2 linked regions of the Caenorhabditis elegans genome follow. The protein of the gene in region 1 purifies or fractionates together with the protein of each later gene. This does not show direct contact. Each region holds a gene or a part of one and is shown on either strand. Other genes may lie near its edges. The genes, in order: mbk-2 and egg-5.

Region 1 (5,205 bases):
CGCCTCTTTCCAGAAGAAAATGAAGGAATGAATGAAGGCAGGGAGCGATAAAAGAGGAGATAGAATTTGTGTTGGAAACTACATTTACAGGCGATTATTGTGTAGTATTAAGTACAAATCTCACAGCTTTGTAAGAGTTTTGGGGCTCTCGAGAAGGAGGAGGAGGAGGACTTATAAGCTTATGCAATTTGATCAAAAGTGCTAAACTTGGCTGAAATTTCAGAATCAAGCAGGTTTGTAGTTGTTTTGTAGAACTAATTTTTGCAAATATTAAAAATTTTAATTTGAAAAAGTTAGATCGTTTCGGATCAAAAAAAATTTCTCCGAAATTTGTTAGTAAGTCAAAAACTAATAATTAAAACTGAGAATTAAAAAAAATTACAGTAAACTTTTTGATTTACAACTATTATAAAACCGTAGTTTAAAAATTGCAAACTGTGACATCTCGGAGAAAAGCCAAAAAAAAAATTGCAAAAACTGTATGTTTTTACAGCTCCAACCATTTTGGCAATAAATAGGACAAGTATTTATTTTTACTGAAAAACTGGAAATTTGGTCATTCACAATAGGAAGTAATTTCTAAAACTACAGAAAGTGCTAAACAACACACAAAGCCAGCTAGCGGAGGATCGTTGCGAGTTGACCAGGTAGATCAAAAACAAAAAAAAATTGTACATACATCTCAAGAATCTGTAGATCACTGTATACAATCATAAAAGGTATGGAAAGCCTCTCCTAACGACTAATGAAAAAGGGAATCCCTGTGAGAGAGGCGAAGAACGATGAAGAATAGAAAAGACGGGTTTTTTACGAGTTGTTTCCATCATGGCCCGGCGTGTGTGTTGCCTCGGTTGGTTTGATTACGATGCCTCATTTTCCCGACCGCAAGGTCCTCCTAGTCTCCACCATACAGGTAAAGAAAACAGAAAACACTACCGAATTAGTACTTGTAATTAAAATAAAAATGTGTGTGTGTGGGGATAGATAGGGGAACGCGAGAACCTTATCTGGGGGAGGGTGGGGAAAGCGGGACTGAAGACTAACACAAGTGATACAGAGAGACAAAGATCGGAAAGATTCGGTGCGGATTTTTGATGACCAACATTTGATACGGTACTTTTGTGAGGAACGCTTTTTTTTGGAAAAAAATATCGTAGTTTTCTGAAAACTTCAGCACAAGGTTTGGCGAATTGGCAAAATTTTTTGCAAACTTTGAATTTTTCAAACAGAACCTTCACAATGTTTAAAAAAATTAAAACTGAAAATTTGTAGAAAAACCCTTTCTTGGTCAATTTCTTGATGTATGGAAATTCAGGAAAAATAGTTTTCTGCAACATTTGTATCACAACGAACAAAATAAAATTTTTGCACATTTGCTCTTAGGCTTGCGAATTTTTCTTTTAACTAAATCTAACAAGATCAAAAAGTTCCATAATTATTTCGTTCAAGTGAACAAATCTCTTGACACTTAAAAATCTCTAAAATCAACCTGTTTTCAAGAAACCATAAAATGTTCGTTTTCTGTAAATTGTCTACTTTCAAGTACAATCTATCTCATTTTTCCTCTTCTCACACACATTGAAATCGTACTTCGAAGAACAATCAGAAAACGTCTTGAAATTGGATAGGGTTAAGGGGGCAAGCACAAAAGGAGTCATTAAAGTTCCATTTTCAAAAAGTGGAGGAAAAAACTTCTGATGAGAACATCATGACGTGCAACTAAATTCTCCCTTCCCGGATATTTTCCTATCATTTTTCTTCGAAGAGAGGGTAAAGGGAGAAAAAGGCCAAGGGAACACTGATTGACTCTTTGAGCATTTTTACACTTTGTGTGTCTCGTTTAAAATGTTGTTACATTCAAAATTGTGAGAAATCGACGAGAGATAGGATTTGAAAAATTGTTCAATTGAAGCATAAGTTTCTACTGAAAAGTCGCTTAAAATTGCAAGTGGCTGAGGAAGTGATTTGATTTTTTTAAAATTTTTTTTAACCAAAAAAATACCGACCTCTACGTCTACTATAAAATATGCGTAAACTTACATGAGGTGAACACTAAAGGCCAGAGTTCAACTTAAAATAAAGGAAATCAGCAAACAGTAGGCAGGCAGGCAGGCATAAGGATATACCTACCAACAATTTAACAATTTACATTACTCCCTTTCTATTGTGACTAGACAACGGGGCCGCCTTACTCAAACGCCAATGCCAATAAACTACGTTAGCTTAGGTCTAACTGTTTTGTTTTAGAGTATGTAAGCTTCAAGGTATTCTAAAACAGCTGTTTTCAGAAAATGAATGTTTTGAAACTATTAAAGTGGGAGAAAAACAAAATTTTTAACAAAAATGTATTGAATCCTGATTAAAATTGCAAAATCAAACAGGTCTGAATCAAAAAAGAAATGATTGACTGTGAATCTAATTGTGAAATCGCTGGTATACCATTCTTGGGTACTCTTGATGACAAATACTCCCCCCACTCCTCCTTTTTATTGAAAAGAAAACACCTCTTCATTGAATGAGAAGGGTTCTCGATCTCAATTTTCATTGATTTTTTTCCTTGTTCCGCCTTTAGATTTCTATTACAATAATACATTGTGATTTTCAAAACATGTTCCAATTTCCAACTAATTAGGCCCTTTACACCAGCTTTTCAACTAATCAGGTTAAGCATAAATGGACAAAAAACATCAAAAAGTTTTCTCAAGGACCCCACAGGGTGTAAAGTTTAATGGGATCCATATGGTGGTCAATGGGGGGGGGCTTTCAAGGAAAATAAATGACCGTCTGCTGCAGGCACGACTTTTGAATATTTCTAGAAATTTCCTTAAGAACTTCAAAGTAATTCGAAATTGCAATATTTTAAACTACATACGTTTAGTGGGAAAATTGAAGAAAAAATTTGAAGAGAAAAAGAATCAAAAGCTCACTGTGAAACTGATCTTCCTTGTGCATCCAGACTCATTACACTGCGATCTCGCTGACCCTGAAATGATTTTTTTTGAATTTTAGGAGCAATTTGTTTAGAATTTTATAATCCTAGTAGAACTATAATAACTAGTAATATCAAAAATGAACATTTAAGAAATCACACAAAAGTTCAGAAAAAAGTCAATATCTTTACTTTTTCAGAGGAGAAATTTAAAAATTTTCAAACTCCATTTCAATTTGAAACTATAATTACATGCACTACTAATAGAGGTATAGCACACCCACCTGTTGTGTAACATCAATCGGTTGTTGCCCGTAACTTCGACTGTTACGTGTGAACGAGGCAAGAGCAGCCATGCTTCAACTACTCTAGACTGCTGCAAGTTTGGGAGAGAATTCCTAAAAATTTTTTGTACTTTTTAATACAATTTGTGGTAGGGGGTAATAAGAGAGTTGACGACGAGTAGAGGGTAATCGGATCAAATACATTTTGTTATCAATGGGAGAAACACCTCACCGAACGTGGGGACAAGTTGGAGCAGATAAGAAAAAGGGGCAAATGATGTTGGAAGAGTCCGTTTTTCTCCCCCTGTTTCTCTTTTACTCTCTAGGAGGAATCCACCAAATTTTTTTTTTGCAGAAACTTGTGTTGTGTTGCGGGTTTGTGGAAGAGCATATGGGAATTGGAGACATAGAGTACGGAGCAACAAACGTTTTTTGAATGGTACACCTAACGGGGTGGAGAACGATGATAAATTGATAGGCAGGCAGTGGATGCTTGGAACGCATGGAGCAAAACTTTTTAGTGAACTTGCTTTGAAAATACAATATAATATAAAAACAAAATAGCGTGAAACTTATTATTAGTGAACCGAAATACGTTAGATGCACAATGACAACAGTGATAAGAAAACGAGATAACTAGATATTTACGCACTTTTAAAGTTCTTCTCCCCATTTTTACGACTAACAATTGGCTTATCAAGAGTCACGAGAGGAGCATCAGCTGGCACCGACCAAAATGGTTTTTTTTCAACTTCCCCTTGTAAGGGAAATTTCTGAACTTTTCCAAAACTTTCTTCCCATAATCTTTGCGCATTCCAAATGTTTTCAAAGCATGCCTTATGAAAACTTAATGCTAATAGTTTTTGATGTCTGATATAAAATGCAAAAATATGGATATCATATGATCAGCGGCAGGAAATATTAAAAAGGGGAGTCTAGAAATAAACAGGCTGAAATTTAAAAAATAGAAGTTAGGGAAGGCATAGAGGATAGGGACCAAGAATGGATAAGCTCAAGCCTAAACCCAAGCCTAAACCCAAGCCCAAACCCAAGCCTAAACTCAAACTTAAACCCAAGTCTAAACTCAAAGTTAAGCCCAAGCCTAAACCTGAGGCTAAACCTGAGCCTAAACCTGAGCCTAAACCTGAACCTAAACCCAAGCCTAAACCCAAGCCTAAACCCAAGCCTAAACCCAAGCCTAAACCCAAGCTTAAACCCAAGCCTAAACCCAAACTTAAACCCAAGCCTAACCCCAAGCCTCAAGCCTAAATCCAACCCTATCTTGAACCTTAGCCTAACACCAATCATAAACAAAAGCTTAAGCCCATAGCAAATCTAAAATCCTATAGCAACCTAAACCCTAGCCTAAGATTAAACCTGAGAATTCTCTCTTATTGAAGCTTAATTGTGTACAAATAACTTATCTGGCATTGGATTCCTGATTGTGAGACGGTTAACGAAATGTGCAAAAAGTGAGAAGAATTGAAAGTAATAAAATAATTGAACAAAGGCAATTTATTTTTATTTCATACCACGTGGATGACCGTGTAAGTTTATTTTGGGTTTCACGCAAAGTTACTTTTTGAAAAATTTTCCAATTAGCATAGTATGTAGACTCGAGGAAAATTGGCATATTTGCTTGGCAAAAGCAAGCCTAAATGAAAACCAGAGCTTCTGCTAAAATTAACTAAATATGTGGTAGGCAAGCACAAAAAAACTAAACCCAAGCCTGAATCCAATCCTAAACACAAGCCTAAACCCAAGCCTTAACACAAGCCTAACAAAGCCTAAACCGGTTTTACCCTGCCTAAACCGGTTTAACCTTTCACGTAAGTGTTTAAAATTTTTTCTCCAATTTTCAAAATTGAGTTGGTCCGAGGTAAGTAGGCATATTTGCCTGCCAACGAATGACTCGTACCTACCCCCAGCGTACAACAAGGCAGGAATGTAGGCCGTATTTTTTATTAACACATGGATGACTGCGTAAGTTTA
Region 2 (5,356 bases), on another chromosome or scaffold:
TTTGTTTTCTTAAAGTTGAATTGATTTGTTTTGTTTCATGAATATCACATTTTTATTTATTTATTTTTCTTCCTTCAAATCACGTACCTGGTTCATCTGACCAAGTGATATTTGTTCACTTTTCTATTGAAAGAAAATAACCTGTTTCACATTGATATTCGAAAATTGTTAAAAATTCAGAATGACCGCCGCCACCGCTACCGCCAACGGAAATCACTCAATCGAGGATCCAGTCGTCATGAAAGTCCAGGCCGCTTCACCAATCCAGGAAACTGATTTTTTCGAGAATCTCTATCAAATGGAATGTTTTCGCACTGGGGAGTTCTACCTCAAATCTGGCCAGATGACTCCAATCTACATAGATCTTCGCAGAATAATGAGCTCTCCTCGTGTGCTCCGAATGGCTGCTCAAGCTATGTGTGAGAAAATTGTCGCCTCAAACCTCAAATTCGATTATGTTGTTGGAGTACCATATGCTGCCCTTCCACTTGCTACCGTCAGTTTTCAGAAATAATTCACACTAAAAAATGAGACTCAATGTTTTTAGCTTGTATCTGATATTCTCAATGTGCCGATGCTTATGAAAAGAAAAGAAGCCAAAGCCTACGGAACAAAGCAACTTATCGAAGGAGTCTATCAGCCTGGTGGTACAGTACTTCTTGTCGAAGATGTCGTCACATCAGGTGAATCAATTCGTGAGACAGCAGAAGCAATTCGCAATGAGAATCTGTTGGTCACTGATGCCATAGCTGTTTTGGATAGACAACAGGGAGCAACTGCCAATCTCGCAGAAGATAATCTTAACTTCCTCAGGTGAGGCTTTTTCGTTTTAATTAAAAATCAAATTTTTTCAGCTTTTTGACAATGGAGAAGATCCTCGACGGCCTGATCACGAAAAACGAGATGACCGAGGAACGAAAGCACGAGATTATTGCTCATCTTGCTAAACCTTTCTAAAAATTTCATTGTTGCACCCCATATTCTACCAATTTGTGAACTTGTTTTCTCATTTTCATAATATTCCAATAAACTTCCTTGTTAGCACACATGCATCGCATCACATAAAACAAGAAAATTGATGGACCAATTTAAAAAATGGAAAAAAGGTTTCATTAAATTTTTGTTTAGCGTTTTATGTGATGTTTTGTGTGTTTATATTTTCTTCTCATCACTTTCTACCATGTTTGCTGAATAATTTTCATTATTTTTTGGCTTGTTGATTCCTTCCCAAGTTGTGATATATCCTGGTTTAATTCTTCTTCCGCATGTCTTAATAATTTTTTTTTTTGGAATTTAGCTAAAGCATAATCAAATCTTCTCATGTTCTTTCCCTGAAACGATTTCAAGTGAATAAAACCTTTTCCAAATAGTGTTCACAAAGGATAAAACTCGCACCATCTATCATAGCTCAACAGTTCTCGCTAAGAATTGCAAGTCAGTCATTAATGCACATAAAACTTAATAAACTTTTAAAATCGGATTCAATTATTTTGCTCTACCGGATGACCCCAGCAGAGCGGTTCCAAAAATTAAAGTCGTTTGACACTTTCTTTCGAAAGGTCAGAACTCCAGCGTACCTTGAGTAACTGGGTTAAAACCGAAGATACCAACGAGTCCTCTCCTCTTACCCAAACGTGTGTACCGACACATTTCGAGGCAAGCGAGAAGCGACGAGTGTGTGTTGTCGAGGAGACGGAGACTGCGAAACAGCAGTGGTTGATGGTGCAGTGGGGAATAAGGGAGGCACAGCAGGACACTGGTTCGATCCCCACGAAGTGCATAATCAGATTTTCCGTATATTGAATATTTATAAACAATTTTTAAAAAATCTATTTTTAATTAAACATGCGTTTTCCGTTATAATGTGCGATTAAGTAAAGAAAAGTACGGTATGCAAAAAAAAAGTACGCAAATACACACATTATCTGCTACCGTACCTTTGTTCTACAATTTGTTCTACATTCTTGGGAGAGCGCGAAATTTTGTATTTTGTCCGCTCAGCGAAATGATTGCACTTGTTTTCTGGAAACTTCCGAAATTTTTTCTTTCTTTGTTCTCCTAAAACTTCGACTTTTTCCGTTCAGTTGTTTAAACAGTATTTTTCGCAGTTATTTTCTATTAAAAATCCGCGTATTCGTCTAATTTCCATTTTGTGCTCTCCCAAAATCGTTTTTCCTGTCTCTTCTGCCGTTTAATAAGCTTATTTATTTTCCAGGTATGGCGTTGAACAGCGAAGTGATGTTCCGCGAGCAAATCAATGCGATGCGCTCACAAGCTGGCCGGAAGCGAGCGACGTCGCTTCAAAGCTTCTGCTCCGGAAACACCGACGACTCCTCCGCGGATAGCACCGATAACATGGATATGATGGTGGATTATCCTCAACAAAAGGGAGTGAGCTGCATGAGAGCCAGATTCAACAGCGAGAGCACGCTTAGCAAGAGTTTCCGGAAGAAAGTGAAGAAGCTCGCTCAGAAGGACAGGTACTTTGAGATTCTTAAGTATTAGAAAATTAATATTTTATGTTGCAGAAGATCCAAGGAGCGTCTGAACGGAAACTCGGAAGAGGATGCGATTGAAGTCCCACGCGGTGCTCCGTCTACTTATGCAGCTCCATCGAAATTGCGGAAATCCAAAGCTCTCGACTGTCTTGTCTCCGAGAAACCAAAGGACGAAGGAAGAAGCGAGGATTCCGGGCATGGAGCCGACATTGAGATGGCAAAGGGACACTTCAACGATGTTCGGATGAAAGTATTTGCCGCCCGAACTGCGATGCAAGTGGAACCAGCGTTGGTCATGAAGACTCGGAAAGCATTGGAGATGAAGAATGCTGTCCTAGAAAATCATCAATCGCCAGGAGCTTTCTCTCTTCATGCAGCCTACAAAATTGCAGCTTCTGCAGAATCCCGTGTTGGATCGATTACTCCATGCAATAAGAAGGTGACAAAGGAAGCAATGGCTAATTTGATTCGTTCAAGTTATGATGACACCGAGATCACTCAAGAGCTGCTTTTCTCTTCAAAGTTCGACTCGAAATGGAAGGGTCGATACACAGACATCTACATGCGTCGGGATGAGAATGGAAAGAAGCCAAAGCGTCCAGTGAACGGTCAAGGATGGGTGATGCCGTTGAAAAGCATCTGTGAGAAGTTCGGAATCAACTCAACTTTCTTCACAAATCATCGCATCGATCTGAAATCCGCAAGAGATCAGGTGCTTCTGATGCGCCTTCTTTCACATGATCAAACCAGCACATGGATTTCGGATATTCATCCAGAAGCCGTCAAGAATGAGACACTGGCTGAATACCTACTTCGTGAACTCGACGCTTCTACGATGCAAAAGCGAGTTCAAGCTTTCAAGGCAAATGTTCTTGCTGACAGAGACCGAGTTCGTGTTGCTGGACAGTGTAAGAAAATAAATAATTATTTTCCTTAATTAATTAACTTTTTTTCAGTCTACAACAACATTCGAATCGGAAAGCGGATGTTTGGAGCAGCGAGAAAAGCGAAGTATCTGTCAACCATCATCGGAGGAATGGAGCGACGCTTTGAAATCCTCGAGAACTCTGTCAACCACATCCCATTCACTCACTCAGCTTCAGACAACAACCAGGAAAAGTGCCGTAATCCACGTGTTCACTGCAGGGATTCCACTCGAATCGCTCTCCAATTCCCACGCGGTCAGTATCTCGGAGATTTCATTCACGCAAATCGGATTTCTGGAAAGCCGCTGTTCAATGAGTTCATCATGACTCAAGCTCCAATGAAGAACACCGTTGATGATTTTTGGAGAATGGTTTGGCAGGAGGAAGTTCCATACATTGTGATGCTAACCAGCAGAAAGGAACCGGAAAGATGTGAATATTACTGGCCAAAATCTCCGTCGGATCCCGCCGTTACTGTTCCTGGTGGACTTCGAATCGAGAACTTTGGTGTCTATCAAGCTCCAGACCCATTGTTCCGTGTCACTCATCTTCGTCTCATTGGACCGGATCGCGAGGAACGTCACGTGGAACATTGGCAAGGAGACGTGAACAATTCATCGAATATGTACTCTCCATTAAATATTCTTCGTTTACTTCGCAACGCGTCGAAGCCAGTCGTTATCCATGATCATTTGGGAGTTTCTAGAGCGGCTTGTCTTGTTGCTGCCGAGATTGCCATTTGCAGTTTGCTCCGAGGGCCAACTTACAAGGTTTGTATCAGAATTTAGTGACTTTTTAAGTTGGAAATGGTGAAATCAATTCAATTAAACACATTTTCAGTACCCAGTACAACGAGCTGTCCAATTTCTTCGTCAGCGCCGTCCATTCAGCATCGAGACTCCCATGCAGTACATCTTTGTGCATCGTCTTGTTGCATTCTTCTTCCGTGACGTCATTGGAAGTGCAAAGGAGTTGGATGTCGATTATGAAAGATGGCTCCAAGAACGATCCGAACGCATGTTCCTTGATGATCTTGCTGCTCCAATTCCTGGCTATCGTTTGCTGTCTCCAAGAGCAGATCCAGACATTGTTCGAATGGTTGGAAGACCTGAAAGACCAAACTACAGACGGTATGTTTTATTTTACATATTAAAAAAATTATTCAAATTGAATTAATTCTCTTTCTAAAAATGTTTTATTTTTCAGTGAGGCACCCGATTGTGTTGGAGAGATGCCGAACAAGGTGGCGGCTGTCGACGGGATCCTTTCACCAGCGAAGAGCGTCTTCGAATTCTAATTTTCATGTATACTAAACCCCCACACTCACTATTATTATTTTTATTTATAACATTCTGTGAAATATTGCATGATACTGTATAAAATGCATTTTAACTGTCAGCTAATGTTTTCGAATTCAACACCTAATTGGCAAGCTGAAACGAAAAATCGGAATCGGCAAAAAATAAAAAAATAGTGACTTCACAATGAAGGGGAATTGTCGGAATCCTGATGACAACAATAACGATTAAAAATGTTTTAATTTATCAGTTTATAGAGGAGAATATTTTGGCGAGGGAAAATTTAGAGACTGCGTTTCGGATTGCAAGATATACTTGCGAAAATTCTGAAAGAGCACAAAATTTGCAACGAAATGGCTACAGGGATTTTTGAAAAATTTAATTTGGAGTCAGATATGAATTTTCAAAGTTAGAAAAATCTACTAATTTCTGGAATTGAAAAAAATTTTGATTTAAAATTCAGAAAGAGCTTGAAATTTGACACAAGTCCCCGAAGAAACATTCTGAAAAAAGTTAATTTTAAGTGAGTTATGAATTTTCAAAGTTATGAAAACCGGATAAATATCCTAAAAAATGATTGGTTATGGTGCATCTAAATAAGTTCGGTCAAACATATGCCTAAAAATTCAGTTTT

What was found.
Region 2: the proteins of mbk-2 (region 1) and egg-5 purify together in Caenorhabditis elegans (affinity purification with western blotting, with the first as the bait; one study listed by BioGRID). This does not show direct contact.

Annotation. Positions count from the first base shown.
Region 1 is NC_003282.8:13,007,238-13,012,442, reverse strand, and holds the start of mbk-2 (Dual specificity tyrosine-phosphorylation-regulated kinase mbk-2), read right to left. Parts: upstream 3,286-5,205; coding exon 3,214-3,285; intron 2,984-3,213; coding exon 2,928-2,983; intron 2,807-2,927; exon of another isoform or gene 2,786-2,806; intron 1-2,785. UniProt on the Caenorhabditis elegans protein: Required for oocyte-to-zygote transition in which it phosphorylates oocyte proteins, including mei-1, oma-1, oma-2, mex-5, and mex-6, modifying their activity and/or stability following meiosis.
Region 2 is NC_003279.8:4,168,449-4,173,804, reverse strand, and holds egg-5 (Inactive protein-tyrosine phosphatase egg-5), read left to right. Parts: upstream 1-2,215; 5' UTR 2,216-2,217; coding exon 2,218-2,480; intron 2,481-2,528; coding exon 2,529-3,406; intron 3,407-3,454; coding exon 3,455-4,194; intron 4,195-4,264; coding exon 4,265-4,554; intron 4,555-4,630; coding exon 4,631-4,721; 3' UTR 4,722-4,821; downstream 4,822-5,356. Other genes in the region: R12E2.11 (Orotate phosphoribosyltransferase), read left to right, coding at 182-496, 548-813, 855-957. UniProt on the Caenorhabditis elegans protein: Inactive phosphatase which acts redundantly with egg-4 in the oocyte-to-zygote transition. Required for polarized cortical actin cytoskeleton rearrangement in the oocyte before and after fertilization.